4 linked regions of the Alligator mississippiensis genome follow. The protein of the gene in region 3 binds, or shares a complex with, the protein of the main gene of each other region. Links are inferred from orthologs where the notes say so. Each region holds a gene or a part of one and is shown on either strand. Other genes may lie near its edges. The genes, in order: TAF1A, POLR2H, RRN3 and TAF1C.

Region 1 (7,427 bases), on a different chromosome or scaffold from region 3:
TATCAAGAAGGCCAAACACAACTGGAGTTGCAGCTAGCCAGGGCCATGAAGGGTAACAAGGGTTTCTACAAGTATGTTAGCAACAAGAGGAAGGTCAGGGAAAGTGTGGGTCCCTTAGTGAATGGGGGAGGCAACCTAGGGACAGATGAGGAAAAGGCTGAAGTACTCAGTGCCTTTTTACCTTGGTCTTCACAGGCCAGGTCAGCTCCCAGACTACTGCACCAGGCAGCACAGTTTGGACAGAAGGTGAGCAGCCCTCAATGGTGAAAGAACAAGCTAGGGGCTGTTTAGCAAAGCTGGACGTGTACAAGTCTATAGGGCTGGATGCAATGCATCCGCGGGTGCTGAGGGAGCTGGCCGATGTGATTGCAGAGACACTGGCCATTATCTTTGAAAACTCGTGACGAGTGGGGGAGGTCCCAGACAATTGGAAAAGGGCAAATATACTGCCCATCTTTAAGAAAGGGAAGAAGGAGGATCCAGGGAACTACAGACCAGTCATCCTCACCTCAGGCCCTGGGAAAATCATGGAGCAGGTCCTCAAAGAATCCATGTCTAAGCACTTGAAGAAGAAGGTGATTAGGAACAGAAAGCACAGATTCACCAAAGGCAAGTCAGACCAACCCGATTGCCTTCTGTGATGAGATAATTGGTTCTGTGGATGCAGAGAAAGCTGGGGATGTAATATATCTTGACTTTAGCAAGGCTTTTGATACTGTCTCCCACAGCATTCTTGAAAGCAAGCTGAGGAAGTATGGGTTGAATGGACTGTAAGGTGGATAGAAAGCTAGCTGGATTGTCGGGTTCAACGAGTAGTAATCAATGGCTTAGTATCAAGTGGAGTGCCCTAACTCCCTGGCGCTAAGTTTGTTTGATATCTTCATCAACAATCTGAAAGATGGGATGGATTGCACCCTCAGCAAGTTTGCAGATGACACCAAGCTGGGGGGGTGTAGTAGATAAATTGGAGGGTAGGGCTAGGATTCAGGGTGACCTAGACCAGCGGTTCCCAACCTTGGGCCACGACCCAAATGAGGGTTGTGGGGCCAATGCCGGCAGCGCTGCACACAAAGGACAAGCCATGTCATGTGCTGGGAGCTCCATCACCCTGCCCTTGGGCTGCTGCCGCCACTGCACTCCACTACAGCTGCGGGTCATGGCAAACAAAAGTTGGGAACCACGGACCTAGAGAAATTGGAGGATTGAGCCAAAATTAATCTCATGAGGTTCAAAATAAGGACAAGTACAAAGTCCTGCACTTAGGACAGAAGAATCCCATGCACTGCTACAGCCTGGGGACAGTGGCTAAGCAGCAGCTTTGCAGAAAAGGACCAGGGGTTATAGTGGACACGAACTATAGTGGACACTAACTATGAGTCAGCAGCGTGCCCTTGTTGCCCAGAAGGCTAACAGCATACAGGTTTCCCTCGCTTTATGTTGGTTCTGTATGTGCAAATTCGCTCTTACGTGATGATCCTTTTTATACCAAAATTTGTTATACGCAAGGTAAATTCACTCTTATGCGATCGGTGTGGTGGAAGCCCACAGTCAGCTGCTTTGTGCAGTGTGTTGTGGGAGTGACATGCACCAAAATATCTATGCTCCTTGCTCATTGTCTGCACCCTGTGTTTCTGTAGTTGCCATCCTCATTATGGTAACATTCACTATCACCCTGTGGTTGTATATACTGTCTGCTGTTGGCGAGTACCAAAATTGTCTTGTAAAAGTAGTAGAAATGGGTCTGGAGGTCAGTATAATTGAGGTCTTGGAAAGTATCCTTATTTATTATATTGTAAAGTGGGTTCATTTTATGCAAATTTGAGTTATGCACCCTTTTCCAGGAACGTACGTATAGCATAAAGCGAGGGAAACCTGTACTGGGCTGCATTAGTAAAAGCATTGCCAGCAGATCGAGGGAAGCGATTCTTTTCCTCTAGTCAGCACTGGTGAGGTCACATCTGAAATACCATGTTGTTTTCAGCCCCCCACTATAGAAAGGATGTGGACAAGTTGGAGAGCGTCCAGCAGATAACAATGAAAGTGGTTTGGGGGCTGGGGCACATGACTTCTGAGGAGAGGTTGAGGGAACTAGATTTATTTAGTCTTCAAAAGAGAAGACTGAGGGGGGATTTGATAGCAGCCTTTTACTACCTCAGGGGTGGTTCCAAAGAGGATGAAGCTAGACTGTTCTGTTGGCAGATGACAGAACAAGGAGCAATGGTCTCAAGTTGCAGCATGGGAAATTTGGGTTTGATATCAGGAAAAACTCTGTCGCTGGGAGGGTGGTGAAGCACTTGAACAAATGACCTAGAGAGGTTGTGGAATCTCCATCCTTGGAGGTTTTTCAGCTCTGGCTTAACAAAGCCCTGGCTGGAACGATCTAACTGGGGACGGTCCTGCTTTGAGGACTAGGGGCTGGAGTAGATGACTTCCCGAGGTCCCTTCCAACCAAAATTTCCTATTATGGAAACCACCTACTGTACCCTGAATGTTGGCTAATGACTCAGGTCAAAGGGGATAACAGGTGAGTCCCTATTCTGTTCCTTACATGTGTCCGCAGACCATCTTCCTGCTGCTCCTCCTTGACTATTCATATTTGCACAGTGGCCCTCTCAGTGTACAACATCCTTGTTCTACTCCTCACACAGATCCAGAAACCATCTATCATTTCCACACCTCATGCACAAACCCCACCCAACTCCTCCCACACCCAGACCCTCACCATTTCAGTCCTAGACAAGACCACCAAAACTGCCTCTCATTTCAATCCACTTCTTTCCTTGCCTCTCCTCCATTCAGCTCCATTCCAAACACGAGCAAGTGTATCGCAGAGATGTTGATGCTCTTTGGCTAGTCCCCTCTGCTGTGTATTGCAGTAACAGAACAAGTTACTGCCTTTTCAATCTATTATCACATTCTAAAAAACAAAACAAAACAAAAAAACATGGATCCTTCAAGGGTCAAAGCTACCTTTGTAAAAATTGCTTTTTTTACTCAAAAACTACAAGACAGCTTTAAAAAAAAATCTTCCTGCTATACCATTCCTTTAGATTCCTACACTCCTGACCTGTGGCCTCCAAACATATTCACACATCATTTTGCAAGTACCCTTAGTCAATTTTATTCTCTTCTTTCAAAAGTAATTCTGACCTATGCAAGTCAGGTAGAGAGGACCAGGAAAAAAGCAGGTAAGACAAGACCTAGTGAGAGAAGTAGAAACAGGTGAGAGAAGTAAGAGGCAAGAATTGTTATAGGTGACAGCTTTTACTGGATCAAGCTGCATGTCTGCCATGCATCTATGGCCCTGATTTTGTAAATACTTATGCATTTACTCAACACATGCCTCCAAAGTAGCTGGCAGCACTATTCACAGGTGTAGGGTTGCCAACTCTGAATCTATTCCAAGAGGTTTCCGGAATGCCAACATGCTGGCAACACAACACGGATGTGCCTACCTGCTTCCATGTATCAGTTACATAGACTTCATGTCAGGAAGGCAAATGCAAATTACTATTACATTTTAAAAACTGGACTACCATGTAAATCGGATTCAACATTTAATATTTATTTTAATGAATGCCCTGTCATTTATCTCCTGGGGGGCTTCCAGTAGCCTCCTGGAGATTTATATCTAATCCCTGGAGACTCCAGGGCACTCCTAGAGGGTTGGCAACCCTACATAGGTCCAAAGTCTATAAGCATGCATGTATTTTCACAGTGGGGGACTTACTTCCCCTGTACTGTGCTCTTAGCTATTCAGCTCCAAGCTGCTGCTGTATGTTGACTACTCGACATTTCACTGGTCTTTATATTATTGATGAGCAGTATTTAGGAACCATCACTGTGATGTTAATAGCATTATTATTATTGCTATAATACTAATCATTATTGCTATAATAATTAGGACCACAAGTATATTACTATTAAGCATATGATCACTTACTATTGACTAATACGATTTATTTCCTTATTATGGCTAATAAGAATAATATTAATATCAATCACATTAATATCAATATAATTCATATGAATAACAACCACAATAATAATGACGATTAGAACGACAATAACAGTAATGGTATATATTATTATATACAATAGTACTTGTTATATTAATATAATATGAATTATAAGCATGCTACAATAATTATATTATTATTATATCAATAATAATAATAATAATAATTGCTATCTCCTCGGTGTGCAGACCAGATCAGACCGAGCCTCGGCCTTGGAGCCCGCGGCACAAGCCGACCCATAGCTGCAGCTGGGGGCGCAGGATCGGGTTCCAGGGGTGGGAGGATGGTATGACCGGAAACCCGCGCCTGCGCACTGAGAGTCACCTCAGCTCTCGCAGGGAACAAGCAGCGAGACCAGGGTCCGGTCACATGACCGGATTGGCTCCACGACACGCCCCTGCCACAACGCTAGATGCCGACTTCTGAGAAAACAGTGCATGAGCACCTCGCGTCTCTTCCCCGGCTGCACTATCCCTCTGGCGAGGTCGAAGGTCATTCTGAAGGTGGCTCCGAGGCACTGCTGAAGAAAGCTTTGCTTCCTTTTTTTCAGAGCTAACTGACTTTGCTCTTGATAACGGTAAAGCCACTTGATGTCGGTGCCCGGATTAATTTAAAGACGTAGTTGGTAAATAAGGGCGTGGGTCACATGATAGGTACTTTGAGGTCTCTCGCCAGGAACAAACATGGTCTCCCGCTTCTAGTGGGCCAGTCGCGTCCTGTGGGACCGCGCCACTTCCGGCCGGGCGGGGTGCGGGACTGGTTCATTCTCCTCCTCCCCGCTGCCGAGGGCATGGACGGCTTCGTGGAGCAGCCGGCCCCGAGGGAGGAGTGGGGCAGCCTGGCCCCGAGCATCCACCTGCCCCTGCTCCCGTGCTTGCTCCATCACCCAGGTAAGTGGTACTGAATGGGTTGGGCCCAAAGGTACAAACCAGCCCTGCCTCATGGTGCTCCTTGATTTGGCACATGCCTGCACACACATGTACAGGTATATATACACATGGACCTGCACGTGTGTGGACCCGCAGGTGTGTGCACCAGGGTTTGAATTACAAGGGAGCTTGGGGGGCTGAGACCCCCCCCCCCCTCCCCATAACAGGCAAGAGCCCCCTGTAAAATTTGAAAATCATAATCTGGGGAAGGGAGCGGGGGATCATAACCTAGGGATTTTATTAGGGCATCATGATGGGCAGCCCAGGTTTTTTTTGCAGAGGCGATGTCCAGGCACTCACTAGCACACCTCCCCCCCCCCCCCCCATGCTTTTTCAGGTCCAGGGGAATCAGAGTGGGGGCGCAGCCCTGCATGGGCAGATTTGCCCCAGTCAGCTCTGCTCGGGTCAGCTCTGTGTGCAGCACACGTTGTCTGGACATTGCTGCGTGCATGGAGCTGGTCTGGCATGCATTGCATGTGGCACCTCTGCTGCTCTGGATCCAAAACACTGGGCTGGTCCAACATGCGTACTGCATTCAGCGCTCATCTCGGACTGGCCCTGCGCACCAGACTGGCTCCACACATGAACATGGGGCTGGTTCAAGACCTAGGAACTTGATAGAGCTGGCGCTAGCACATGCTGGGGACCCCCTCCTCCCCTAGTCAGCAGTCGGCTGCTGGTGCCTCCCTAGTATCGGGAGGCACCAGTCACCCATGAAGTTGGTGTACACTGCACAGAGCTGGTCTGGGGGATGTGTTGGCTCTGGCACATGAGGCTGGTCTGTTATTTCAAAGCAGATGAAAACACAGTCTTTGAATACAACTATAGACCACAATACACTGTGGTTATGCAGTTCATGTGGGAAATCTGTCCTGTTTAGCCGTGGTCCTTTAATAGTTTCATATGTAGTGCTCATAGTGTAGGAGGAGGAACAAACTCTACTACGTGGGTCTATCAGTTTTGCGCTTCCTCATCAGAAAACATTGGTGCATTCAGGAGGCACACCATTCAGACTTTAACTGCCACAGGTTCTATATGGGCTGCAGCAACAACGATTCAGTTTGGGCAGGGGCCTAACCAGCCTCTTGGAGCCCTTGCGTAGGGAAGCTGCAAGTTTTCTTCGAGCTTAGTCATAGTATAGGAACAAATTCTCCCCATCTCTGCTTCAGTTTACAATCTGCTTAAATAAGAGTTTTTAATTTGTTTGTACCAGCTACTTGCATTTTCAGTTCTTTAGGTGAGCACTGCTTCTTAACACAGTTATACTTAGCTGAAAGAAGTTCTCTTGGTTGAGGTTTCTAGGTGATCATAGTACAATATCTTGCAATGTAGACCTTAAATAAGAGAGGAGATGGGCTCAGAGGAGAAATCCACTGTGTTTTAGGAAATATTTGAAGTTGCATTTTGAAGCATGGTTTCTGTCTTTTTCATCTCCTTTGGCAGAGTTTGCCCTGGACAAAGCTAAAGGTAGTAAAGTGATAGTTACATTGTTACCCTCTCTTATTTGTTAATCCTATTTTTTTTTTTTTAGTAACTAGGGGTCCAAAGGAAACAGAATTTCAGAAAACAAAGGAAGCTTGTTTAAACTACATTCAAGATGCCCTGTTGCAGAACCAGTGGCAGAGGGCTGCAGAGTTCATGATTAGCTACTTGGAGATATTGGAAACAAGTACAGTGAGTAAACGGAAAACTGCTCCAGAGGTAAGATAAAAAGAGGCTGTTACCAGAATTCACTTGCTGTTGATGGAAATAATTTAAAAGGGCATTTGAAGTAGTTCATGATCCATACTTATGTCTTATTTGTTAAAAAGAAACCTCAAAGCTTTACAAGAACATGTGTGCATTAGAGAGGTTTTGGGGTTTAGGTTGTAGCTGTGTTGGTCTAAGGACATAGGCAGACAAGGTTCCTTGGGTGAATTTGATATCTTTTATTAGACCAATCCAAATGGTTGGAGAATAGTTATTAAGCAAGCTTTCGGGTTCAAAAACCCTTCGTCAGGCTAAGGAAGCTTCAGCAGTTGGTGTGTGCTCTTTTGATTACTCTCTAGGTATCCATACCAACCAATACATTTGGAAAACAAACCTCTAGCATATAAAACAGTAGAGATATAGAACAAAGTTTAGCAGTTCAGTACAACTCATGCATGTCCCTGGCAGAGGGGGCACAAAACTGCACCCTGCATATAAGCAACCACAGTTCTGTTGCACAAGTATCGGGTAGCAGACCACACAAAACTAGACCCTGTAGTTGCTAGCAGTTAAGGGGTTTTATTCAGGTAATGTGGAGCAGCTTGGGAGCAGGGGAGTTGTCTAATGTAGCAGCAGCCTTTTAAGGCTTTGGTCTGGATTGGCCCAGTTGGAGTCAGAGGCAGGCAGGTGGATGAGTGGCTACTAGGACCCAACCAGCACTGGCACTGTTCCCTGTGGCAGCAGAGAGGAGGTGCCTCTCCAGTGTCTGCAGGCATTGTCCAGACTGGGG
Region 2 (7,466 bases), on a different chromosome or scaffold from region 3:
GCAAATCCCATCCTTTCAGGAAGTGGGTGTCTTGGATACCCTCCTGCTGTGACTGGGAAGCCCTGGTGGAGGTAACAGCACAATTCCAGTCCACTCAGACAGAACTGAGCCTCCGGCCTGTTATAGTGAAGAGAGAGCAGTGATGTCTCCACCTGTGCACACAACATGGAAGCACCCGCCAGGGCCCACAGGTAGCCTAGAACTAGAGCTCGGAAAGGAGAACGCACTGGGCAAAACGGAGGGGCTGCTAATGATTTCACAGCTGATCACGTCAACAGGGACAGGAGCTGAACAGTGCAGGGCCTGAGAGTCCCCAGCCCAGGGCTTGCAGGGGTTCAGTCCTTCATTAGGCCATGGCTATCATTCCCCAATGCGCTCAGTCCCATTGCTTACCTACTTCACACCTTGTGGAATTCTGTGGGAGGCAAAAGCCAGGACAAATCTGAAAAACAAGTTTAATAGCGAACCAGAGGGGATGGGCTCAGGAGCTGCTGCCCTCCTCGCCAATACAGCACATGGCCTGCCTAGGTGGGTGGCATAGGCTGTACTGCAGCCTGCAGTGGAGCCACGGGGCAAGGATGTAGCCTCCCAGCTGGCCGAGGAGAGCATGTGCCATAGGCAAGTCCTCCAATGACCGGCACCTGCAGGCAGGGACCTAGGAGCTCACCTGCGTGTGACCAGCCCCTACAAAGGGCAGTTCTTCAGAGACTGGGGCATGAGCTGAGGTCTCAGCCTGCTCGGCAGAGAAGCAGTCTCCTGGCCTGGATGGCAACCCAGCAGAGATGTGAGCAGTGCAGGCCTCTGGGCTGGCTGCACAGACTGGAATGCATGGCAGGGTTCAGGCCCACGCAGATGAGGGGTGAAGGAGCCAAACTCCTGAGGCACGGATCAGAGAGGTTGCTGGCAAGTCCATGTCTGTCCAGACAGCCTGTCAGGCAGGGTCCCTGCTGCCTCCTGCAGACCCTCAGCTCCCGCCCCTTAGAAGGCCAGTTTCTTCATGAGGAGGTACACCCTGGAGTCCACTTCGAAGCCATGCAGGTTGTTGGCATCTCCCTGGAGACGCATGAGCAGCCCTCCATAGGACACGTAGGCAGAGCTAGGGTGGAGGGGAAGGATGAGAGCAGGGTAGGAACTCGGGGGAGGCTGACCATAGCCCCAAGCTCTAGAAGCCTAGCTAAGAGGCAGCAGCACTGGCTCATCACGGGGCTGAGGGAGCTGGCTGCCAGGGCAGACTCCAGCCAGCCCCTCAGGGAAGCAGTCCCACACGAGACCAGCGTACTGGGCAGCTCAGCACAGACTGCTAGCAGAATCAGGTGTTCCTACCCCCAAGCTGCCAATCTGGCACCCAGACAGGACATGGACCACCCCCCACCCCTTGGCATCCACGAAGGACCAAATTCCCAATGAATGACAGGGAAGCAGCACAGGGGAGACACTTACAGTCGCGTGGCAGCCTCCGTAGACGTCTCGTCTCCCTCAATCCTGTACACCTTCCCATACATCACATACTCAAACTGGTCAGCCCTGTGAGAGCAAGACAGCAAGGCTGGAGGAATCGGCATGACCCTGGACCCAACCCTCCTGCCCAACACAACCCCCCTCCAGGCTAAACCCCTGCCAGCTAACACTGAACGCCCCCAGTCATCCTTCCACCCTCATGCAGCTGATCAGCGCTGCAGGCTGAAGCTGTCTGCCTCTTTTTTTCATTTGGTGACAGGCTCCCATCCAACACCACGGAGCTAGGGGATTTTTTTGGCTAATACGGATGGCCACTTATTAACCAGCCATATGGGCCAACACCAATCTGATAGCCAATATACAGCCTGGCAACTTGGAGAGCAGCATCCGGCCTGTAAGCCTGGGGGGCGGGGAGGTGGGGGATGGGCAGGCAGATCAAGGCCCACCACAGTGAGGGAGGACGTGGGACTGGGGAAGGGGCAGGTGCTGCCTGGCCAGGGTGGTGAATGGGCCCCTGGGGTAGGTTACCTCTCCCAGGAGTACACACAGCAGAGAAGCTGCCTCCTCCCCAGACACAGCTCCACCCTGCAACTCACCTGGGGGGCCCATTCACTGCCCCGGCTGTGCAGCACCTGCCCCGCCCCACTCCCTCCCTCACCGCGGGGGCCTCGATCTGCCCCCACACCCCTTCCCTCCCACTGACTCACCAGCCAGACGCTGCTCTCCACAGTGCAGGGCCGCGCTCCTGGCCGAGCGCAGGCTGAGGCTGCTTGCATGCGCGCGGCATTTAGTCGGTGACGTTATCGGCTATGCCGGCCAAAAAAAGCCAACCGCCGATAACGTTAATCGCCGCCGATCTGATACATCACCGATGTATCTGCGCCCTCGACACGGAGCCCCGGCGAGGAGGGAGACCGAGAACAGGCGGGGACCCGGTCGGACGCGGCAGGGAGGAGCGTCGTAAATACACAAGGCAGGGGTTGAAACAAAGCCAGGCTGCAGACACGGGCGCGCCCGCGCCCCTACCTGGAGGGCCGGTCGTCCGTGGGGTTGTACTCGCCGTCGTCCAGCGTCCCGTCCTCGTACAAGGTGCTGGCGATGACCAGGCGGAACTTGTCACCTGCAACCCGCGGGGTCAGCGCCGGGCCGGGGGCGCGCGGGCCTGGGGTGGGGGGTGAACCCTTCCCCGCCCGCCCGGCCCCGCCCCGCCACCTACCCAGGTCCACGGGGTAGATCTGGATGTTGACGTCCAGGATCAGGTCCATCTTGAAGGACTCGCTCTCGCAGTGCAGGCGGGACACTGCGGGCAGAGCGGGGGTCAAGGCCCGGGGGGGCGGGGCCTGGGATGAAGGGGGCGTGGCTTGGGCACAACAAGGGGGGGGCGGGGGAGGCTGTCCCGGCCCTGCTTACCGCGGTCGAACTTCTTGCCCTCGGGGTCGATGTCCTTCACATCGAAAATGTCCTCGAACAAGATCCCGGCCATAGCAGCGGCCGCGCTCCCCCGTGCCCGGCGCCCGCCGCGGCGACACGCGCTGCTACTGCCGCTTCCGGCCGGCGCGCCGGAAGTGCCTCATCCGTGCGGGGCGGAAGTGCAGGCTCGGGGCGGAAGGGCCACTCCGGGAGGGCGTTCCATGCTGGCAGTCCGTGTGCGCATGCGTGTGCCGGGGCTGGACCCCGGGCTCCCTGCTCCGCGCGGCCGGGCCCGGGATGGGGCGCTGAGCCGGGCGGGTGCATGGCCGACCCGCGGAGGAAGAAGCTGACCAGCGTCGCCATCGCGCTGCTCTTCCTCTCCGGGGGCATCGAGTACGGTGAGTGCCTGGCCCCGCCCCGCGGCTCCCGCTTCCCTTGGACCCATTTCGCAGGCGGGCACACTGAGGCCGGGCAGGATCCGGCCCGCGGGACGGTCCCCAGCCCTGGTGGTGGGTGCGAGCTGGCTCTCTGCTCCCCCCCGGTGTCTACAGACTGGAGCGAGGGATGTTTTTAAGGCCAAAAGGGGTCTTCTCAGACCTACTGTTTGACTTGTCGGGTCACGTGAGGTGCTGGGTCCTGGATCCTGAAATAATTCTTCCTCCTCCTGCGTTTTCACCCTTGTGACACGGCGGTCACTGGGTCTGCGGCGTTCTGCGCCCAGCCCGCAGGCCTGTCCTTGCGGGAGCGGAGCTGACTTTGCTGTTTCCTCGGTTAATATTTTACAAGGTGCAAGCTGAGCCTGCAGCTCGGGTAGGCCCGGGAGGAGCCCGTTCCTGCTCTTCGCACCAAGGATCTCCGAGTGCTGGGGGAACTGGTAGCCCAGCGGGGAGCAGGGCAGGAGCGTTGACTGTCCGGGAGCTCCCGACCGCTGCAGTCCTACCTCCTTCTAGGAGGAGGCTTCAAACCCAGCGGGGATTGGGGTCTGAGTGCCGGGAGAAGTGGTGGATTGCCAAGTTGTCCTTCCCTCGGGTCCTCTGGGTTCATCCCCCTGCTGGGAGCAGCCAAGGGCTCAGCAATGTTAATGCAGCAAGGACCAAGGGTGGATGCCGGAGCCGAGTGTCATTCCCCTGCCCTTGCCTGTCTCGCCACCTGGGAGAACGTGGCAAGTGCTGGCACTTGCGCGGCTTCGCGACATAAACCGATTCCCCGTGCAGAATCGGGCTGGGGGGAGGCGCAGTTGGCATTGGCCATTTGGCTTGTGAGGGCAGCCAGGCGAGAAGGTCTGTTGTTACGGGGCCTCACCCCACCGCACTGCACCTGGCAAAGCAGCTTTCCTTGGCAGCTGGGTGCTTCAAGCTGAGCTGACCGGTCCGGTGACGTGAGCCACTGGTGCCCTGGGGAGCGGAGCCAGGGAGCGTCTAACGAGGAGGTGGTGTTTGACATGGCAAGGGTTTGATTGAGGCACGTCAGTCAGCGTGCCGGTCCCAGGCTGCAGGGCCCAGCCTTGGCACCCTCTCACCTGCTTTCTGCCTTGTCTGAGCTTGCGCTTCCTTCGGTCTCTGCAGCTGTGGGAGTGCTCCGTGTTCCCGGATGTTTCTCACCCTTCCTTTTACTTCCCTTTGTGCCTCTGTGCTTCCCAGGGGTGTTGCCCTCACCCCTTCCTCCCAGAGTTGGGCTGCCTTTCCACAGCTGCTGTCTGGGGCATGGCCTCACAACTAAGATGAGCCCCTGCCTCCAAGAGCCGATGGCCCACTCTAATGAGCCCAGGTGTGGGGAAATGGGGAGAGGCAGGGACTCAGCCGGATTCTCCCTGCAGCTCAGCGGCAGGTGCAGGAGTCTGACTTGGGCGTCTTGTCTCCATGCCCGTCCCCTGGGCATGCCTGTCTGTGCTCAGAGCATGCTGGGAGGTGCTGGCTGGGGTCTGTGTCCAGCCGTGCCCCTTGTGCTATCACGTCGGCACCCACGCCGACATTCAAGCAAAAAAGGGTCCCAGGTACCCGGGGGTTACGCAGGCCAGGTGCAGACTGGAAAAATACGGGCCAAACCCATGGCTCATGTCCCACAGCTGGGAACACTGCGGGGTGTTCATAAATGTCGCTCGTCTTCCCAGCTTCTCCCATCAGCCCTGATCTCCTCCAGCATGAGTCAGCTCCACTCCTGCTGGCCCAGTGCCCAGCTGGGCCCTGTCCAAACTCACCTCTCCGCTCAACCCATTCCTGCCACTAGTCTTTGGTGACCCTTCTAGGTCTTCGCTCTACCCTCCTTGCCCTCTTGGGGTTTCCTCTGTTGAGTGAGCCCCAAGAACCCCTCATCTCCATGAACCCCACTTCTTGGTCTGTCTCCCTTCTGTATTCTCCTGGATGTCACCTGCCTAAGAACAGTAGGGTCTGGACTGAGATTCCCCCCCCACTAATTTACAGCAGCTTCCCTTTTCACCGAGGCATGGGGTCATCTCCAATGTCTTCCACGTCCCAACTTTGCCTTTTCTTTCTCCATGATCCAAGCATGCTCTGTCCCCCCTTGAGCTACCGCTTTGCAGTCCCTGCTCTCCCGTTCTCCGGGAATGTGGGAAACTGAGGCCCAGGGGTTAGTCAGTCCTTGGTTTATGTTGGATAGGGCCACAGAGCCAGCCCTGGTGCGTGGGCGGGAGGGTGCTGAGTCCTCCCAAAATGAGCAGGGGGTGGGGAGCTGCATGCGCTGCCAGCTCGTAGAGAGGAGGCCTCCAAGGGCAGCAAAAAGACTTTGAGCCAGGCAGATCTCTCTTTGAGCAGCCAGCTCCGTCGTTACAGAGGGAAGTAGGGCAAGGGTGAGCAGGCGGGGGCGGGCGACAGTGTTGCAGCACCTCTGTCCCTTGGGGGAAAGCAGGCAGGGGCGAGCTGAGCCTGGAGGGAGAAACTGGCCATGGGGCCTCCCTGCCTGACACCAGAGACCTGCCCTGGCCCTGCTCTTGGTGCCCAGGGTGACTTGGGGGCCTTTCTGCTTTCTTGGTCCTGGACCTGAAACTCCAGAGCTCCCTTGCAGGTGATCAGAGAGCAGTCCCTGAGCCGTGGGGCAGGGCTACCTCTCGGCTGCCTGCCGGGGACATCTGGAGTTGGCCGGTCGAGATAACCTGTGCTTTCAGGAATGGGAGGGTGTGGGGCAGCGCAGGGGGCAGTCCAAGGCAGGCTGGGGGGATCTGCCGCTAGCTGTACAGAGCTTTGTGGAGCTTTCTAGCTGTGCTGCCTTTGCAGGGGAAGCGACCTGGCCATGGCTGCTCTAATAGCATGTCCTATGCAAAACGTGCTGTCCTTTCCTACTCTTACTGCTGACCAAATGCCTCAGGATATGCCAGGATATGATGGACTAGCCAGGTGCAGCCTGAGAGGGGAGGCTCTGAGCAGGCAGGGGCATTGCGGGGGTCCCCATGTCTCTGGGAAGCCAGTGCTGTCTCCTGGGGGAGAGGGAAGGACTAGGAGAGCTCGCTGTGGCTGCGGAGGGTCTGTCTGCATGGCTGATGCTTCGCCTTGCTGTGCCAGGCATCAGGAGAAGCCATCCAGCTGCCCCAATGGCTGGATCAGCTGAGGTGGGCAGGGTGGGACCCCCAGATGGTGAGTCTCAGGGACCCAGATGGCCTTTGCTGTCCTTGTCACTGGTCAGCCCATGCCAGTTTGGGGGGTGGTGGTCAGGAGCTGGGTGGCCTGGCGTTGTGCTGAGATGATCCAGGATCAGGCTCAGTATCGGTGTGGGGTGTCCTGGTAGGACTCAGCCTGGGGCTGTCTCTGACTGTCTGTCTGTCTTCCTTGCCTGCCAGCGGTGATCCTGCCAACCATCTGGGCCTACCTGCAGACTCTCCATGCGGAGCCGTACTTCCTGGGCCTGGGGATTTCTGCCTTCAGCCTCACTGGCCTGCTGGCAGGGCCCCTCTTCGGGCTCTGGTCGGACCGCACCCAGCGCACCAAAGCAATCATCCTCTTCGCCAACACGTTCGAGATTGCAGGTGAGGCCGTGAGAGCAGACTGGGGGGGACCTTGTAGTTCAGATTCCAGCCCTCCCTGAGGGAAGACAGCAGCGCCACATTTTATATGCAGCGGCTGAAACTGCGTGGCCCGTGGGAAGGCCCATGGTGCAGTGTGGGACCCGCACACGGGCCTGTGGGGTTGTCCACAGCCTGCGGTCACGCATGCATCCTGTGACACGTACCCCATGTTGCTGGTTCTGGGGAGCTGTCTCCGGCTGCCTCAGCCCCATGGGCTGTCTCGTTGCACCTTCCTCTCTGCGTTACCTGTTGCTCTTGTGTCCCCGATTCAGGGAATTTCATGTACTTCATGGGCATCTCCAAATGGCTTCTTCTGGGCAGCCGGCTTGTGGCAGGTAAGAGCTAGAGGCATCCAGGCCTGTATCCTAGGGGCTTTAGGTGCCTGTGCCATTTCTCTCACCCCTGGCCCTGCACATTTCTGTCGTAGGTGTCGGGACAGGAGCAGGTGCCTCCATCTTTGGGTACCTCACTCGCTCCACCACCTCGCAAGAGCGCGCTACGGTGTTTGCAGTGGTCATGGCATGTCGGCAGGTCGGACTGTTGATTGGTAAGAGCCTCCTTTTTGCTGGACCAGGTGGAGGGT
Region 3 (6,868 bases):
GGAATCTGTCTTTGGAGGGTTTTACGGCCCAGCTCAACAAAGCCCTGGCTGGAATGATGTAATTGGGGATGGTGATGATTTGAGCAGGAGGCTGGACTAGATGACCTCTTGAGGTCCCTTCCAACCCTAATTTTCTGTGATTCTATGATTCTAAAATATTGCTAAAAGTTGTCTTCAACCTTTATATCAATACTATTCAGTAAAAGACTTATGATACTGAAAAAAACCCAAATCTACCCGAATAAAATTAACAAATGTAATTCCATATCATGACACTAAAGCTTTGAATAGAAAGTCAAATTTCCCAAGCATTCACCTCAAAGGATTTGGAAGTAGCCAAGGTCAGGTGATGATGCACTTAATTTCAATAGGAGTAATGTGCATTCAAGTACATGGGGTCCTCCTACTCTTCAGCATGCATGGGTTCATGCAGATTTTGTACCAATACAATTACATTACAGCAGCAATGAAAAGTTCTGCATAAAGGAAGCAATACAAATAGCAAACCATGCTGCTTGAGTACTCACTTTCTTCATCATCATCAGAATCTGAAAAATCCACACCATCTTCCCTTACGATTACTTGAGCTGTTAGGAAAGAGAACTATTAGTGCATAACTATAAAAAGCATAGAGATGACAGCCACAAGTTAAAGCATCTTCAGAACAATATTTTCACCAGAACTACCTGGTGAAAACCCACAATATCTACAATACATCAAAACAAGAAAAGAAGTTTTCTTCTACTCAAGAAGCCAGAAAAATTGTACATGCTGTTATCTAGTTTTAAGCTAATTTCTTATAAATTTCTTACAAAATTTGACCTTATACAAATTCTCTTACTCCAAGTTATTTTAGTAAAAAGAGTGTGAATTATCCCATTTAGAATAAAACGAATTACAAACTTACAAGGTACAAAATGTGAGACAACCATGCGGAGGCAGGGTCTAAGATAGATACTTTGTGCTGATACCAGGTTACCCAGAAAATCTAAATATTCCTCCACCACATCCTGGCTTCTTTTCAACCATGGCAGCTTCTGCAGGCAGTTAGAACAATGATGTGAAATATACAGACATTTTGAGATTAAACATTTATTTCTATATATTATGAGTGGCTACTTACCAACAAAATGCTGACCAGCTCCTCCACATCTTTTGTCAAGTATACAACAGAAGCACGGAATTCATGCAACCAGTTAATGATCTGGGCATCCTTATATAAGCAGACAATAAAATAGAGCAATTGCATTAATATAAAAACCTTTAAAACCCAAATAAACATGAGAATTATGATTAGGGAAGCAGTTTCTACACCAGCATGTTAGGAATGTCACCCAGCACCCTTCCTCCTGCACAAGGCACACCAATACCAGAGTGGAGAAAGGCAGAAATTGCAAATCCACCCATAGTTGCTGAACACAGTTCTCTTTCAAAATCCAAGATGAGTGGATTTATCACACTGAACGTAATAGCTAAGTAGGGGAACTACGTAGTACTCTAGACACTCCTTGTAGTCCTAAATCTAGTCCTGGTCCTCCCAGCCGCTGGGCACAAGGAACCCTTGGATGTATCACCTATCCGTTCTCTACAAGGAAGCAACGTTGTGCTCCAACTGTCAATTAGTTGTTCCTAAAGTCCTTTGCCCGAAAGAAAAAAGCCTGACAGATCTTATTCCAACCATTCTCCTTAAATAGACGTGGGCGCACACCTGTGATCCTCTTCCAACCTTCTCAAGCCTCTGCAAAACAGTTACTGCAAAAAATGGACAGATCTTGTCTCTTACCGATTTTCTGCAACTTAGTCATACGACTAAGATGATGGCATGTACAAAAGTAAGCAAGTAAACACTTCTTCAGAGACTTGAACAAGGTCCAACAGGATTACACTTGGAATAGGTAGAATAGGATCACTCCCAAGTCTGGAGCAGGTGCTGAACTGAAAGGATTAGTTTAGAATTATCAGGGAATTGCCATGGAAACGCAGCCTAACACTCTGTGGTCTGGAAGGAATGGAACATAAGCTGCCACCTGAAGAAATGTAATAACGGTCTGACTCCAAGTGGAGCGCTCTCAAAGAGGCGAGGAGGGATCAAAGGTGTAGCTGATCTGGAAACTGACAAGACTTCTGTCACTGCAAAGTTAACACAGAGCAAAGATATCTGAAAGATAAGAAACCCTCCCTGAAACCTGATCAAGCACCAAGAAATCTATTTGAGGGGGGTTTAAAATCATGTTTAAAACACAATGGCCACACTCTGCCTCATAATTAAATGTACTCCCATGAAACAACCACAACTATCAGAATCCCCCATTGCAAAAATGTCTCACCTTTATATCTGGATCTGACAGCTGATGCTTTAACAACTCAAAGTCAGCAGTTTCTCCCTAGAGTGAGTGTGAAGGGGAAAGAAAACAGAGGCACATTCGGTTTCCTGCGATCCCGGAGCACAGCTCGGGCCCCGCTACCTAACCCATCTGAAACACAAGCTTCCTCTTCTGTTACTAAGGACAGCTTGGAAGACCCCTGGCAAAAGCCAGAAAAGCCATAAAGTGGCAGCAAGAGTCGCAGCTTCTCTCTCCCCTGCTCTACTACTAAAGTCTGGCTGGTGCTTCTCCCTTCTGCCCACCCATCCCCTACGTTTCCTCAGAGAAGCCCGAGGAAGCAGCCCACCAGCACCCCCGGGACCGAGGCCGATGGGGGAGGGAGCAAGAAGCAGCTTTTCATCACCCCCGAGACAAGCCCAGGCGCCGTCACCTGCTCGTGCTTCAGCAGGACGTCCCTCAAGGTCCCGCCGAACCGGACCGTTTTCCTGAGCGGGGAGCCGAGGAACGCGCCTCCCTCCATGGCCGCAACGGTCAGACCGGCCGCCTCGCGTGCAGCCCACTGCTGGGGGGGCGGTAAAGACACCGTCACCCCCTCCCGCCTCAGCGCCCCCGGCCGCCGGGCCCGCCCCGCTCCTCGCCGCCAGCCGCGCGGCCGGGCCCCGCCATGCCTCCGCCTGCGGGCCGGAAACGAGCACTGAGCCCCCCGGAAGTGACGCACGCCCACACTACTAGTCTAAGGTGGCTGGCACGTTGGCCATGCGGCCGTTCTGGTTTCCCCTCTCGCTGCCCCTCGGAGGACTAGGGGCGGGGATCTTGGCCACGCCCAAGGCGCTGGGGGAGGTGACGTGTCTTCTCCTCCTCTCCCCTCCCCCCCCCCCCCGGTTTTTTCCTCAGAAGTGTCCGGGACCCCCTCGCCCCCTGGTCTGCACCGCCCGGCTCCTTCCCCCGCCCCGTGTCCGAGCCTCAGTGCCAGGGAGCTGGGCCCGGGCCCGGGCCCGGGGCGGTTCCCGGGGCCCAGGGTAGCAATGTGAAGCATCCCGTCCGCAGGGGGGGGCTTTGGGGACCTTCCGTCCAAAGGGAAAAGGGGATCTCGGACCACAACGCTCCAAAACTACTGTGCCTAAATTAAATTTAAAAAAAAAAAGTCATGATAATAGAACCGCAGTTTCCATTATTGAGCAAAATCACATCCTGCCAGGACTGAAAAGATTTGAGATCCACCAGGAAACATGTTTGTGGCAATCCAGACGCTACATTATAGGTAAGGACAGCTAATGGCCTGAAATGACCTCTGTAGGGGTAATAAGTTGTAACAAAATAATGTTGTACGTAAGACATACACAAAAACTAGATCTCTTGGTTCCAAAATGAGACTTTTTATTAGACCAAGTGGGAAATCGCAAGAAAATTGTCCTTTTTCTGCAAGCTTTCAGGATCAAAGTCCCTTCATTAGGCTCTGGGAACAGTACAGACGATACAAGATGGTAAAAAGTCCCCATGGGTAGGAAATAGACTTCGTTTTTGCACAGAGGGAGCTGAAGTCACACGGCTGTCCCTCCGGGTCCATGACAGGGTCTGTGAGCTGTGCTGAGCAGCTCTTTGACGTGTAGGTCTGGTAGATCTACGCGTCACTTTGTACTTACAGCACACTTTCTAGATGAACCCTTGCTCCCTGCCAGTCCTTTTGTAGCATCTGATAAAGTGAGCTGTTGATTACAAAAGTGAATGCATCTCTGACTTAGTCTATAAGGTTTCTCTCTGCCCTGCCTTCTGCCTGGAGTAGGCATGGCAGGCATACTACAGCATTCTGGCAACCAGTATAAAGCCATGCGACTCTGGTGCCTTTCCCACTTTCAGTATTTAAAAAACACACCGCTATTTATGATGAAATATCATTGAGTACGCTTGCTGGAGAGGCAAGCTAGCTGTTCATTTCCTTTAAACCCAAAAGAACAAATAATACTCTTATTCTCCAGGTAATTCACCTAAAATAGCTCTAGCAATTTGCTAGATTGTGCCATAGGCTTTGTTCTTCAGTCCATTATATCTTTGGTTACTACACTTCAGCAGGTATAGGGCAGTCTGTTTTGAAAGAAAGTACAGAACATGCAGTCATTAGAAGTGGTCTGACAAAAGTTAGCGCTCTCAGTTCATTTTCTGGTGGATAAATGTCCACATAAAAAGAACAAGTTGAAGTAATGACTATTTGCAGCAAAGTTAAAAAGATTGAACAGATCAGGGTGGGCAAAATGTGGCCTGTGGCCTGGATGCGGCCTGCCAGGCCATTCTATCCTGCCTGCGGGGCCCCTAAAAAATTTAGAAAATTAATATTTATTTGCCCCTAGCTGCCTGTCATACGGCCCTCAGTAGCTTGCCAATACTCAGTAAGCGGCCCTCCGCCTGAAATAAGTGCCCGCCCCTGGAATGGATGAACTACTGTATTGCAAGGAAATGGTTACAATATGGTTGATTGCTGATTTTACAGCATCTTGTAGACAGAATCAAACTGAGTTCCTTAACTGTGTTTCCCATGGGTTTCTCTTCGCTTTGTTTTAGGGTTTGTCTTTACTGAAAAATGGAATCGTTCTGCAATTAGGTTGGGAGCAACCATGTTCTAAACATGATTCTGTGCGTTCTGCCATGGGTAGCTGTCAGAAAGACACCTAACAGCTTGACCTTTGGTCCTTCTAGAAGGATCACACATAAGGAATTGTAAGGGCAGTGGGGCAAAGTTTGCAATGTCACTACACTGACACTGATAAAAGAAGTGATTTCAGTCATGAGCCTGTCCCACTAGCACAGGCTTGTCCAACATACAGCCCGCGGGCCGCCATGCAGCCCACCAAGGCATGTTCTGCGGCCCGTGGTACCGCGACAGGAAACTAAAGTAAACATGGTTTACTTTTGTTCCCACCCCTTGTCCCTCCCCCAGCCCCTCAGCAGCTTCCTAATGGCTACTGAAGGGCTAGGGAAGGGACAAGTTTCCCACACGCACTGGGTCAGCATGGCACGGCCGGGGGCATCCTTTGCAGGGACTGGACCCCTCCCTGGCCGGGGGCGGTGCAGGCTGCGGCTGCTGAGCGGCCCCGCCCGCCCACCCGCCCCGACAAGCCGGTGCCCATCCAGGCGGCCGCAACCAGTGCCGCGGGACTGCCCCACGCAGGAGGCCAAGCAGCGGCCGGTGGCACTGCTGGCCCATGCCTGCCTCCTCACCCGCCCGCTCCAAGCCAGCCCCGCTACCCTGCCCTGCCTCACAGCAAGGCGGTGCCTGCTCCCCTGGCCAGACTTCCCCCCGGTGCTGCGGCTCTCCAGGCCCGGCCGCCCATGCGCGAGGCCCCGAGGGGGCTGCTTCTCATGTGCTGCTGGGGACCGGAGGAGCCTGGCTGGGTCTGCACCAGCCAGGAGAAGCGGTGGCGGAGCCACATGCCACTCGAGACGGGACGAGCCTGCACCGGTCAGTCCCGAGCGGCACATGGCTCCACCGCAGACCTGGCCGGCCTCCTCCTGTCTCCAGCAGCACGTGGGAAGCCGGCTTCAGCTGCATGCTGCTTTTCCTGGTCGGTGCCGACCCAGTTCTGCCTAGGCGGGTCCTGCAGGAACCATGTCAACCCGGGCATGGCACCAGGTCTGACTGATATTTTTTCCACATTTGATCTGTTGACGTGCATTATGCTTCTTTCATTCACTGAGAAGTGAGTAGAAGCGAAAGTGTTTATTTTAGTCATGTGTTTGGTATTATTTCATTCTTGCTTTTATATCGTTTTTATTTTAGATTTTAAACCACATTTCCAGACCCATTTCATTGTCACTTCCTGCAACTTCATTGGTGTCAAAGGTCACGGGACCTCACTGGAAGACGTCAAACATAGTTGAACTTACAGCCTTATTGGTCATTCTGAATCAATTTCTCGGTGCCTCCACAGAATGTCTAAAATACTTGCATAGAAGTTGAAAACGGGTATCTTTGAATGTAAAGGTTCTTGCCTATTCAGTACTAAATTACAGAATGCAAGCTTTATAAAAGTCCTACATTTCAAAATAACCAAGGAAGCTATTAATTTTTTGTCAACTATGAGGCAAACATTTTTTATGGACCCTAATTAGTCAACTCCTTTGAAGATTACCTTTCTTTGCTGCAAACTCTTTAAAATATCGTGTTGACTATTAAAACTATTTTTACTGGATTCAGTTTCCTAAACTAAACTACAAGGCAGCTTTTAAATTATGACAACGGTTTGTGCTTGTACCCTATGGCTAGATTGTCTGAAAAACATAGTTTTAAATAGGCAGACAAGGTTCCTTGGGTGAATTTGATATCTTTTATTAGACCAATCCAAATGGTTGGAGAATAGTTATTAAGCAAGCTTTCAAGTTCAAAAACCCTTCGTCAGGCTAAGGAAGTGTCAGCACTTGGTGTGTGCTCTTCGTGGATGGAATGAAAAGTAAAGAGGCCAGGGGCTGGGCTGGGCTGGGGAGTCAGTTGCCAGGCAGATTATAATGTATCAAAAATCCAATGTCTATGTTTAGTGCATGATCTCTAGTAT
Region 4 (7,231 bases), on a different chromosome or scaffold from region 3:
CACAGCTGGGGAGAGCAGGCTGCCAGGGGTCTAGGAGCCAGGGGCTCAGGGAAGCAGGGGCAGCAAGATGGGGGCTGCCCCTACCCCCTGGCCCAAGCCAGGCGGGCAGCTGTCCCTGGGGATGGGCAGGGACCATCACTCACCCGCAGCCGTGCCTCCCCCAGATGGAAATTCTCCTGCAGTAGCTGGCCCATGGCCCCAAACGCGTCCTCAGGGTGGTCCAGGAAGAAGTGTGCCAGCTGCAGGGAGGGGCACAGGGTCAGGGGGCCCAAGCAGGGTCTGGCTAGCACACGGGAGTCCGGGGCAACCCAAGCAGGCAGCTGGGCACATGTAGTGTCTTCGTGGCCTCAGCCCCAGCTGAAGCCCCCTGCCCCCTCCTCCCAAACCTCGTTGCAGGGAGACACTGCGCAGAGCCTGGTGGGCAGAGCATGGCCATCCTGGATCCCCACGTGGGTGCGTGGGTCTGCTTGGATCCTCTGACACCCTCTCCTGCCCAGGGCAGCCCTGCTCCCCTTCCACCCCAGCGCCTTTCCCCAAGGAGGGCAGTGAGCTCAGTGGCCCTCTGCCCAGCCAGGCCTGGGGCTTTTGGGCTGGGCCCACAGGAGCGCTGAGACTTGCTGCTTTCCCAAAGACCCCCCTGCCAGGGCATGGGCCATGTGGTGGGCTACCGGAGGTGCTGGGTACAGCAGCCAGCCTGCAAGGACTCACCTGCCTGGTGAAGTCAAGGGCAGCTTCAGTCCTGCCTGCCTGGAGCTTCCTCCGAACCCGCCCCGGATAGAGGATGTCATGGGGGGTCACGGCCAGGACCCTGAAGCCTGCAGGTCAGAAGTGGGGGGGGAGAGAGAAGGACACGGACAGAGGACACGACAGGGGACGGGACACCAGGCCAGGCTGTCAGTGCAGTGCAAGCCCCCGGGCACAGGGAGGGGAGGGAGCCATGTAGCGCTGCTCAAGGAACCTCCAGCAATTGTGGGCAGAGGGATGGGCACGTGCACCCCCCAGGCCCTGGCAGTACCCGGGGATGGACTGCCCAGGGGAGCCCACAGGTCAGGAGCTAGTTCCTGCTGCTGGAGGGGATGAAGGCCAGGAGGACCCTGCCAGTCAGGGCCTTGTGCTCTGGCAATCTCTGGCTCTGCTGGCCTGGGGGTCGAGGCAGGATCTGAGCTCTCACCAGCGTTAGGAGGCAGAAGTGGCACCGCAACGGCATCAGCAGGTTCCCAGTTCTCGCCTTTCTCGCTGCGAAGCGGCACGAACCCCTGTAAGGGCAGGACAGATGGATCAGCACAGCTCCCTGCCCACTGCAGGGGGCACCTCTACCCTGGTCCCCAGCTGTCCCCAGCCCATCACGCTGCCCGGGGCTGCAGCTCCACTCCCCAACTGGGTCAGGGCCCTCCACTGGGCCTGCACTCCCTCCCCACTTAAGGTTAACGCTAACGGTCCAAGGGGCTGCCCCTCGGGAGGAATCATCACAAGCACAGTGACAAACTGGGTGACTCCTGGCTGGACGGCAGTGCCAAGGAGGATTGTGGGGGGGAACTCGATAGATCAGACTCGATATGAGCCTGCAGCATGGTGCAGCTGCACAAAAGAGCACTGTGATTTGGGCTGTCACGCGTATTAGGTGCAAGACACAGGAGGTGATGGTGCTTCTCTGCTCGGCCCTGGTCAGGCCTCCTCTGGATAACGGCTGCAGTGCTGGGCTCCACATTTTAAAAGGGAAGTGGAGAAGTGAGAGAGGGGCAGAAGCAATGCTCAAGGGCTTGGAAGGCAAGTCCTAAGAGAGGCAGAAGGAGCTGGGCATGTTCAGCTTGCATAAAAGCTGCTTCAGAGGGGACACGAGAGCAGCCTGCAAACACCTGAAGAGCTGCCTCGCAGGAGAGGGAAAGCAGCTTCTCTCTTGGCTTGAAATTGCAGCAAAGTAAATTTAGACTGGATCTCAGAGAAAACTTCTTCCTAGTCGGAGCGGGGGAACAGGTGCCCAGGGAGGCTGCGGCTGCTCCAGCACTGGAGGTGCCCTCGCAGGGGTTGGGCAGCCACTGGTCGCGAGCGAGCTGGGAACAGCAATGCCCACAGCGCTGGGGGGCACAAGAGCCAACGGGGCCGCCACACGAGTTGCTGGGACACCGTGGGCCGAGGGCTGCAGCCCAGGGCAGGGGGCGCGCACTCCCTGCGGGGCTGTGCTCAGCAGGAGAACGAAGCGACGCTCACAGCCAGACAGGAGAGGAAGGGACACTGGAGGAGCTGGCGGGCAAGCTTTTTTGGGTAATGTGTTATCTTTTATTACATCAACTGAGTAGCTAGGAAAACGAGCTCTCTGCAAGCTTTCGGGCACAAGCACGCGTCTTTGGGCACAGGGAGTCGCTGCTGTTGGGAGACCTCCAAGGAAGGAAAGAAGCTGAACGTGTGACAGGAGGTCAGTGAGAAGGTACACGGGCAGAAGCGAGGAAACCACAGGGGAAGAAGGAAGAGGAGGGGGACAATGGCAAAGGCGAGAACCCTGCAGTGCAGAGCGGCTGGGACACGCAAGAGCAGAAGGGACAAGAGGAAGGGGTCGCGAGCCGGGCGGGGCCCAGGGTGCAGGGCAGAGCAGGGATGCGGCCGCCCCGGGCTCCGCCGGAGGCCAGGCTGCCGGGAAGGGAACTGCCCTCCTGCCGGTCCCGCGTCGGGGCTTCCCTGCCACCGGGGCGCTGCGTGCAGGTGGGGGCGGCCCTGCCCCCGCCCCGCTGGGCAGGAAAGATTTCCTCCGGTCGGACTGGTCTGCACTGGCGCGCCCGGGCCCGGGCCCGGGCCGGGCCGGGGTTTGCGGGGCCTCCCCCGGGGCAGGCTCGGGGCTGGCGGGGCCGGACGGACACTCACCTGCCGCGGCTCCGCGCCAGCCCCCAGCACCGGTCCGCGCCCGCCCCAGCCGAGCAGCGCGGGGCAGGGCGGCTCGCGGCTGGGGGGCCCGGCGCGGTGCGGCCCCGGGAACAGCGGCGCCGGGAACTGCATCGCGCCACGTGCGCCCGCCCCGCCGCTACAATGTAGCCCCCGAGCGGCCGCCGACCAATCAACGCCCGCCGCCCATAGAGCGCCCGGCCAGAGCGCCGCGCCGCGCGGAAGGGGCTCGGAAGTGCGGCGCGGCAGCGCCCCCTGGCGGACGGCAGCGTCGGAGCCGGCGTGCGCTTTAGCTCCCAGGGGGCCGGGCCGGGCTGCCCTCTCGGGGGGGGGAGGGGCGTGGGGCGGCTGTGGGTGTCTCCCACGGGGGGGGTGTGGGGCGGCTGCGGGTGCCCCCTCGGGGAGGGCGGCTGCGGGTGTCTCCCGCGGGGGGGGGCGTGGGGTGGCTGCGGGTGCCCCCTCGGGGGGGGCTGCGAGTGCCCCCGCGGGGGGGGTGTGGGGCGGCTGCGGGTGCATCCCGGGGGGCGTGGGGTGGCTGCGGGTGCCTCCCGCAGGGGGGCATGGGGCGGCTGCGGGTGCCCCCTCGGGGGAGGGGGCATGGGGTGGCTGGGGGTGCTTCCCGGGGCGTGGGGTGGCTGGGGGTGCCCCCCCGGGGGGGGGTGCAGGGCCAGTTGGGGGTGCCTCCCCAGGGGGCTGGGGGGCAGCTGGGGGTGCCCCCCCAGCGGCTGTGGTGCCCCCCTACATCCCAGGGCAGGGCAAGCTGCTCCAGGTCCCTCATCCAGACAAGAGCCCCTGGGGGGGCAGTGGTTGGTGCCCTGCACGGCAGGAAGTGGGCCCTGGCCCTCCCCCACGCAGGACGGCCTGTACCCTGGAGCTGGGCCAGGGTGCTGGGGTGTGGAAAGGCTCCGGGAAGCTGAGGAGGAGTTTCAGGTCAAGAACAGTATTGGAGCCAAGAACACATGGGGAAAACCTGCGAGGGGCACAGACAGGCCCAGGGCCCCTGCACCCCGTGCCTCCCGCCCCCGGCGCACGCGGCAGCAGGGTGCAGCCAAGCCAGGAGCTCCCCTTGCCCGGGAGCGACCACTGCCCTCCCCGCACCCTCGCAGCTTGTGGTGGGGCTCAGTGAAGGCCTGGTGCTCCCGCTTCCTCCAGCTGTGACGAATGCTGCCGGCAACGTGTTCAGGTTCTAGGACAAGCCACTACGGACATCTGCGGATCCTATCACAGATGTCACCCAAACCCTGCACTTCTTGCACGGTTCCCAAACCTGCCTGACAATGGCTTTCCATGCCTGCGGTTTGGCCTGGCCTTCGGCTGTGGCTTCACCTGCTGCTTCCCCAAGCCCAAGGAAGGCCACGTGCCCAAAAGCTCGTCCCACGCAAGCTCTCCCTCACCACAAAGCCTGTCTGGGCGATGCTTGTGGTCTGGCACAGGCATTAGCACACGTGCTCCTTGCTTCCACCCTGGATGGCGTCCACAGCGGGGGTCTAGAGCTCTGAAGAGGGGTGCAGGGGCCTGGTGCATCAACGTAGCACACCGTTTTCTCCCAGTAAAGAGAAGCAATGGGTGCTGACGTGCTGGGGCCCAGGGCTACCTTACCAAGCTTAAGATCAAAGCAAAACAAAATGCAGTGTTAGTGGCACATAGGGGAGCGGGCTGGATTGTATGTTACATTTAGGAAGTGCGGCCAGCTGGGCAAAGATAACATTGTGTTGTGATTGTTCCAGTCAGAGCAGTGACATGCACTCCCCTTCCTGATCCTTAATACAAAAGCCCCAGGCATGTGTTACTGAGCTTGACTCTGGCCAGGGATATCTCACACCTGGCAACAGGCCCTTTTTCCTTTCCCTTTCCAACCTGGCAACTGTTTCTGACAAACAAGTTACCAGCCAAGCACAGTCATACAGAAAGTGACAGCAACCAGGAGTGACCCCTCCATGGACTTCCAGTAAGAGGAACAGCCTACATCCAGAGGCCTGGAAGGGCCAGCAGGGTCCTGTAACCCCACTTCCCAGTCCCCCCAATTGTGCCAGGAGCTGTCCCAGCTGCAGGGCTCCAGTCCCTGCATGCAACAGTTGTGGGCCAGTCAGACCTGGGTGCTGTGCTGCAGCTGGCAGCATTGTCCTTCTCTGTTGCTCCCCCAGATCCTCCTCGGGGACCCTCCCCAGGGCAGCACTCCTTCCCCAGTGCTCAGCAGCACTTAGCATCATCCTTCTCTGTCACTCCCTCAAATCCTCAGGGCACCCTCCCTGGGGCCACACTCCTTCTCCAACTCTCAGCAGCAGAGACTGCCCCAGTCCAGCTGTGGGTGCAGGGACACGGCTCCCCCCAGCCCCTGTGGGCCCAGGAGTTCCCTGCCTCCAGCACTCTCACCTGGAGGCTCCTCTCAGGCAGGAGTCACCCAGGCACCAAATAAACCTTGTTGAATGTGAAGTGTCCCAGGCGCATGGGTCACTTCTGGATGATGCCGTGGGGTGTCGCTGGCTGTGGCGCAGGCAGGCACATGGTGCTGGGCTGGGTGCAGGGGAGCCGGTGGGAGCGAGGCCTGCAGCACCTGGTGGAGCAGGACTGATGGGGTCTCGTGTCTGTAGCCATAGACACAAGGGGCATGGCCCCAGCTCATTCTCGGTCCCCTTCCTGGAGGCCTCCTGGCGCACAGCCTGGGGGCTGCATCCACATCTGCACACGTGCCAGCGCTCCCTGCAGCAGGGCGCTCAGCGCCAGGGAGCATCCAGCATCTCTCCCAGCTGCAGCCCAGCTAAGAGGCATCAAACAAACCAGGGCAGGTTCGGCCCTCGCCTCCCTGGCTGGGCCAACACGGAGCAGCCCAAAGCCCAGCCCAGGCCCTGCCCACACTTAGCTCTGCCCCTCGTGCACCCTCTCCCAGAGCAGCCTCCACACCCGTGAGCCTGCCCCCTCTACCACCTTGCTCTCCCTCAGCTGCCCCACCACAGACACCTTTGCCCAGGGCCCATCCCTACTCACAGATGCCACCCTCAGACTACGATCAGCCCACCCAGAGAAGACCCTGCCCCCAGACCCCCATGCACAGGCCTCCAAGCCTCACAGCACAGGTGGTCCAGCAGCACAGCTGAAAGCTGCTTCAGCCCAAGACCCCCAGGGAAAGGACCCTCCCCGGGCCGACAGTGCCCATGGGGCCTCTGCCCCCAGCTCCGTGCTCAGCTGCCCACTCTGCTGTTCCAAGGTGCTCCTGTCCCTGTCCCTGTCCCTGGCCTTGCTGTGGGGGCAACAGGTTCTGCCCCAGGGCTTCCTGAATTGTTCTTCCTAAGTGACCACCAGATACACATGGTCTTTGCCTTATGGGCTAATTGCATGGCTATGTTCGTCCACTGCACCATGCCCCGTGCCTCGCCAGGGGCATCCTCATGGCTGTTCTCTTTCAGTTAACCCCCTTCTGGGGCGTTCACCGAGAGCCCAGAGAGTGACAGCCCTGAGGGCTTCTCCCACAGTGCTCAGTGACATGTCCCTTTCCTTACACACCAGGCCAGGCAGTGCACTGCTGGGCGGCCTCTGCCACGGCCCGGACATGGTGGATCCTTGCACCGCCTTGTGAGACCTGCTTCCCATGACACAGCCTTTCCCATCTGGGGCTCATAGAGGCAATCCTCATCATTTCCCCACAAGCATTTTCCGCAGGCATCAGAGCAGTCCCAGTCTGTCCCCGAAGGGCTTCCCGCAGAGGCCTTGCTTGTGGTGACAGCGGGAGCAAAGATGGCTCCTCCTCTCCGCATGGCCCCTCATCCAGCCAATGAGCGACAGGCAGGAGCAGTTCTGGTCCTAGGACCTGCTTGTGAGAGAGGGGCTGGCAGAGCTGCTGGGCAGAGGGGCCGTCTGCGGCAGGCTGCTGCAACCAGTGTGGGGCAGGACAGGCCCTTCCTGCCAGCACTGAAGGCTGGAGTCAGGTGGCAAAGGCCCACGGTGGCATGGGAGTGTGGGGCGGCTGGAAGCCACTGCTGGGGCGTCTGAGGGCAGGGTCAGCCCTGGGCTGGCTGGCAGGTGTGAGGGGTGGGTTCAGGTGGCTGAGATGGGCCCTGATTAGGGGCAACTGAAGGGAGACAGAAAGGCGGCGTGGGGCCCAGGGAGCAGGGGGCACATGTGGGGCTGCCAGCACGGGGGACAATGAACTGACTGCAGCACGGATACCGCAGCGGGCCCGGGAAGGGGATTGCACCCACTGGAGGTCAAGGGTCAGGGCCTGGCCCGGGCAGGGGAACAGCCAGCTCTGGACGGGGTGGTAAAAGTGGGATGCTGGCAGCAGGTGGAGTGCGGGAAAGCTTTGGGTGGAAACCAGCTGCGGCCGCGTCCACAGTGTTTACAGTCCAGAGAGACAGGTCCT

Evidence for each region.
Region 1: RRN3 (region 3) and TAF1A share a complex: the UniProt entries of both Homo sapiens proteins name them as parts of the pol I pre-initiation complex. The link is inferred for Alligator mississippiensis from reciprocal best matches to the Homo sapiens genes RRN3 and TAF1A.
Region 2: RRN3 (region 3) and POLR2H share a complex: the UniProt entries of both Homo sapiens proteins name them as parts of the pol I pre-initiation complex. The link is inferred for Alligator mississippiensis from reciprocal best matches to the Homo sapiens genes RRN3 and POLR2H.
Region 4: RRN3 (region 3) and TAF1C share a complex: the UniProt entries of both Homo sapiens proteins name them as parts of the pol I pre-initiation complex. The link is inferred for Alligator mississippiensis from reciprocal best matches to the Homo sapiens genes RRN3 and TAF1C.

The regions. Positions count from the first base shown.
Region 1 is NC_081824.1:182,344,642-182,352,068, forward strand, and holds the start of TAF1A (TATA box-binding protein-associated factor RNA polymerase I subunit A), read left to right. Parts: upstream 1-4,419; 5' UTR 4,420-4,665; coding exon 4,666-4,909; intron 4,910-6,479; coding exon 6,480-6,649; intron 6,650-7,427. UniProt on the Homo sapiens protein: Component of the transcription factor SL1/TIF-IB complex, which is involved in the assembly of the PIC (pre-initiation complex) during RNA polymerase I-dependent transcription.
Region 2 is NC_081830.1:83,503,986-83,511,451, reverse strand, and holds POLR2H (DNA-directed RNA polymerases I, II, and III subunit RPABC3), read right to left. Parts: upstream 3,012-7,466; 5' UTR 2,942-3,011; coding exon 2,869-2,941; intron 2,759-2,868; coding exon 2,675-2,758; intron 2,579-2,674; coding exon 2,485-2,578; intron 1,525-2,484; coding exon 1,441-1,524; intron 1,097-1,440; coding exon 979-1,096; 3' UTR 439-978; downstream 1-438. Other genes in the region: major facilitator superfamily domain-containing protein 8, read left to right, coding at 3,191-3,266, 6,659-6,844, 7,156-7,218, 7,311-7,430. UniProt on the Homo sapiens protein: DNA-dependent RNA polymerase catalyzes the transcription of DNA into RNA using the four ribonucleoside triphosphates as substrates.
Region 3 is NC_081836.1:42,573,585-42,580,452, reverse strand, and holds the start of RRN3 (RNA polymerase I-specific transcription initiation factor RRN3), read right to left. Parts: upstream 3,001-6,868; 5' UTR 2,845-3,000; coding exon 2,755-2,844; intron 2,385-2,754; coding exon 2,328-2,384; intron 1,214-2,327; coding exon 1,124-1,213; intron 1,038-1,123; coding exon 908-1,037; intron 588-907; coding exon 528-587; intron 1-527. UniProt on the Homo sapiens protein: Required for efficient transcription initiation by RNA polymerase I (Pol I). Required for the formation of the competent pre-initiation complex (PIC).
Region 4 is NC_081826.1:303,255,598-303,262,828, forward strand, and holds the start of TAF1C (TATA box-binding protein-associated factor RNA polymerase I subunit C), read right to left. Parts: upstream 3,004-7,231; 5' UTR 2,989-3,003; coding exon 2,857-2,988; intron 1,257-2,856; coding exon 1,172-1,256; intron 816-1,171; coding exon 709-815; intron 240-708; coding exon 144-239; intron 124-143; exon of another isoform or gene 1-123. UniProt on the Homo sapiens protein: Component of the transcription factor SL1/TIF-IB complex, which is involved in the assembly of the PIC (pre-initiation complex) during RNA polymerase I-dependent transcription.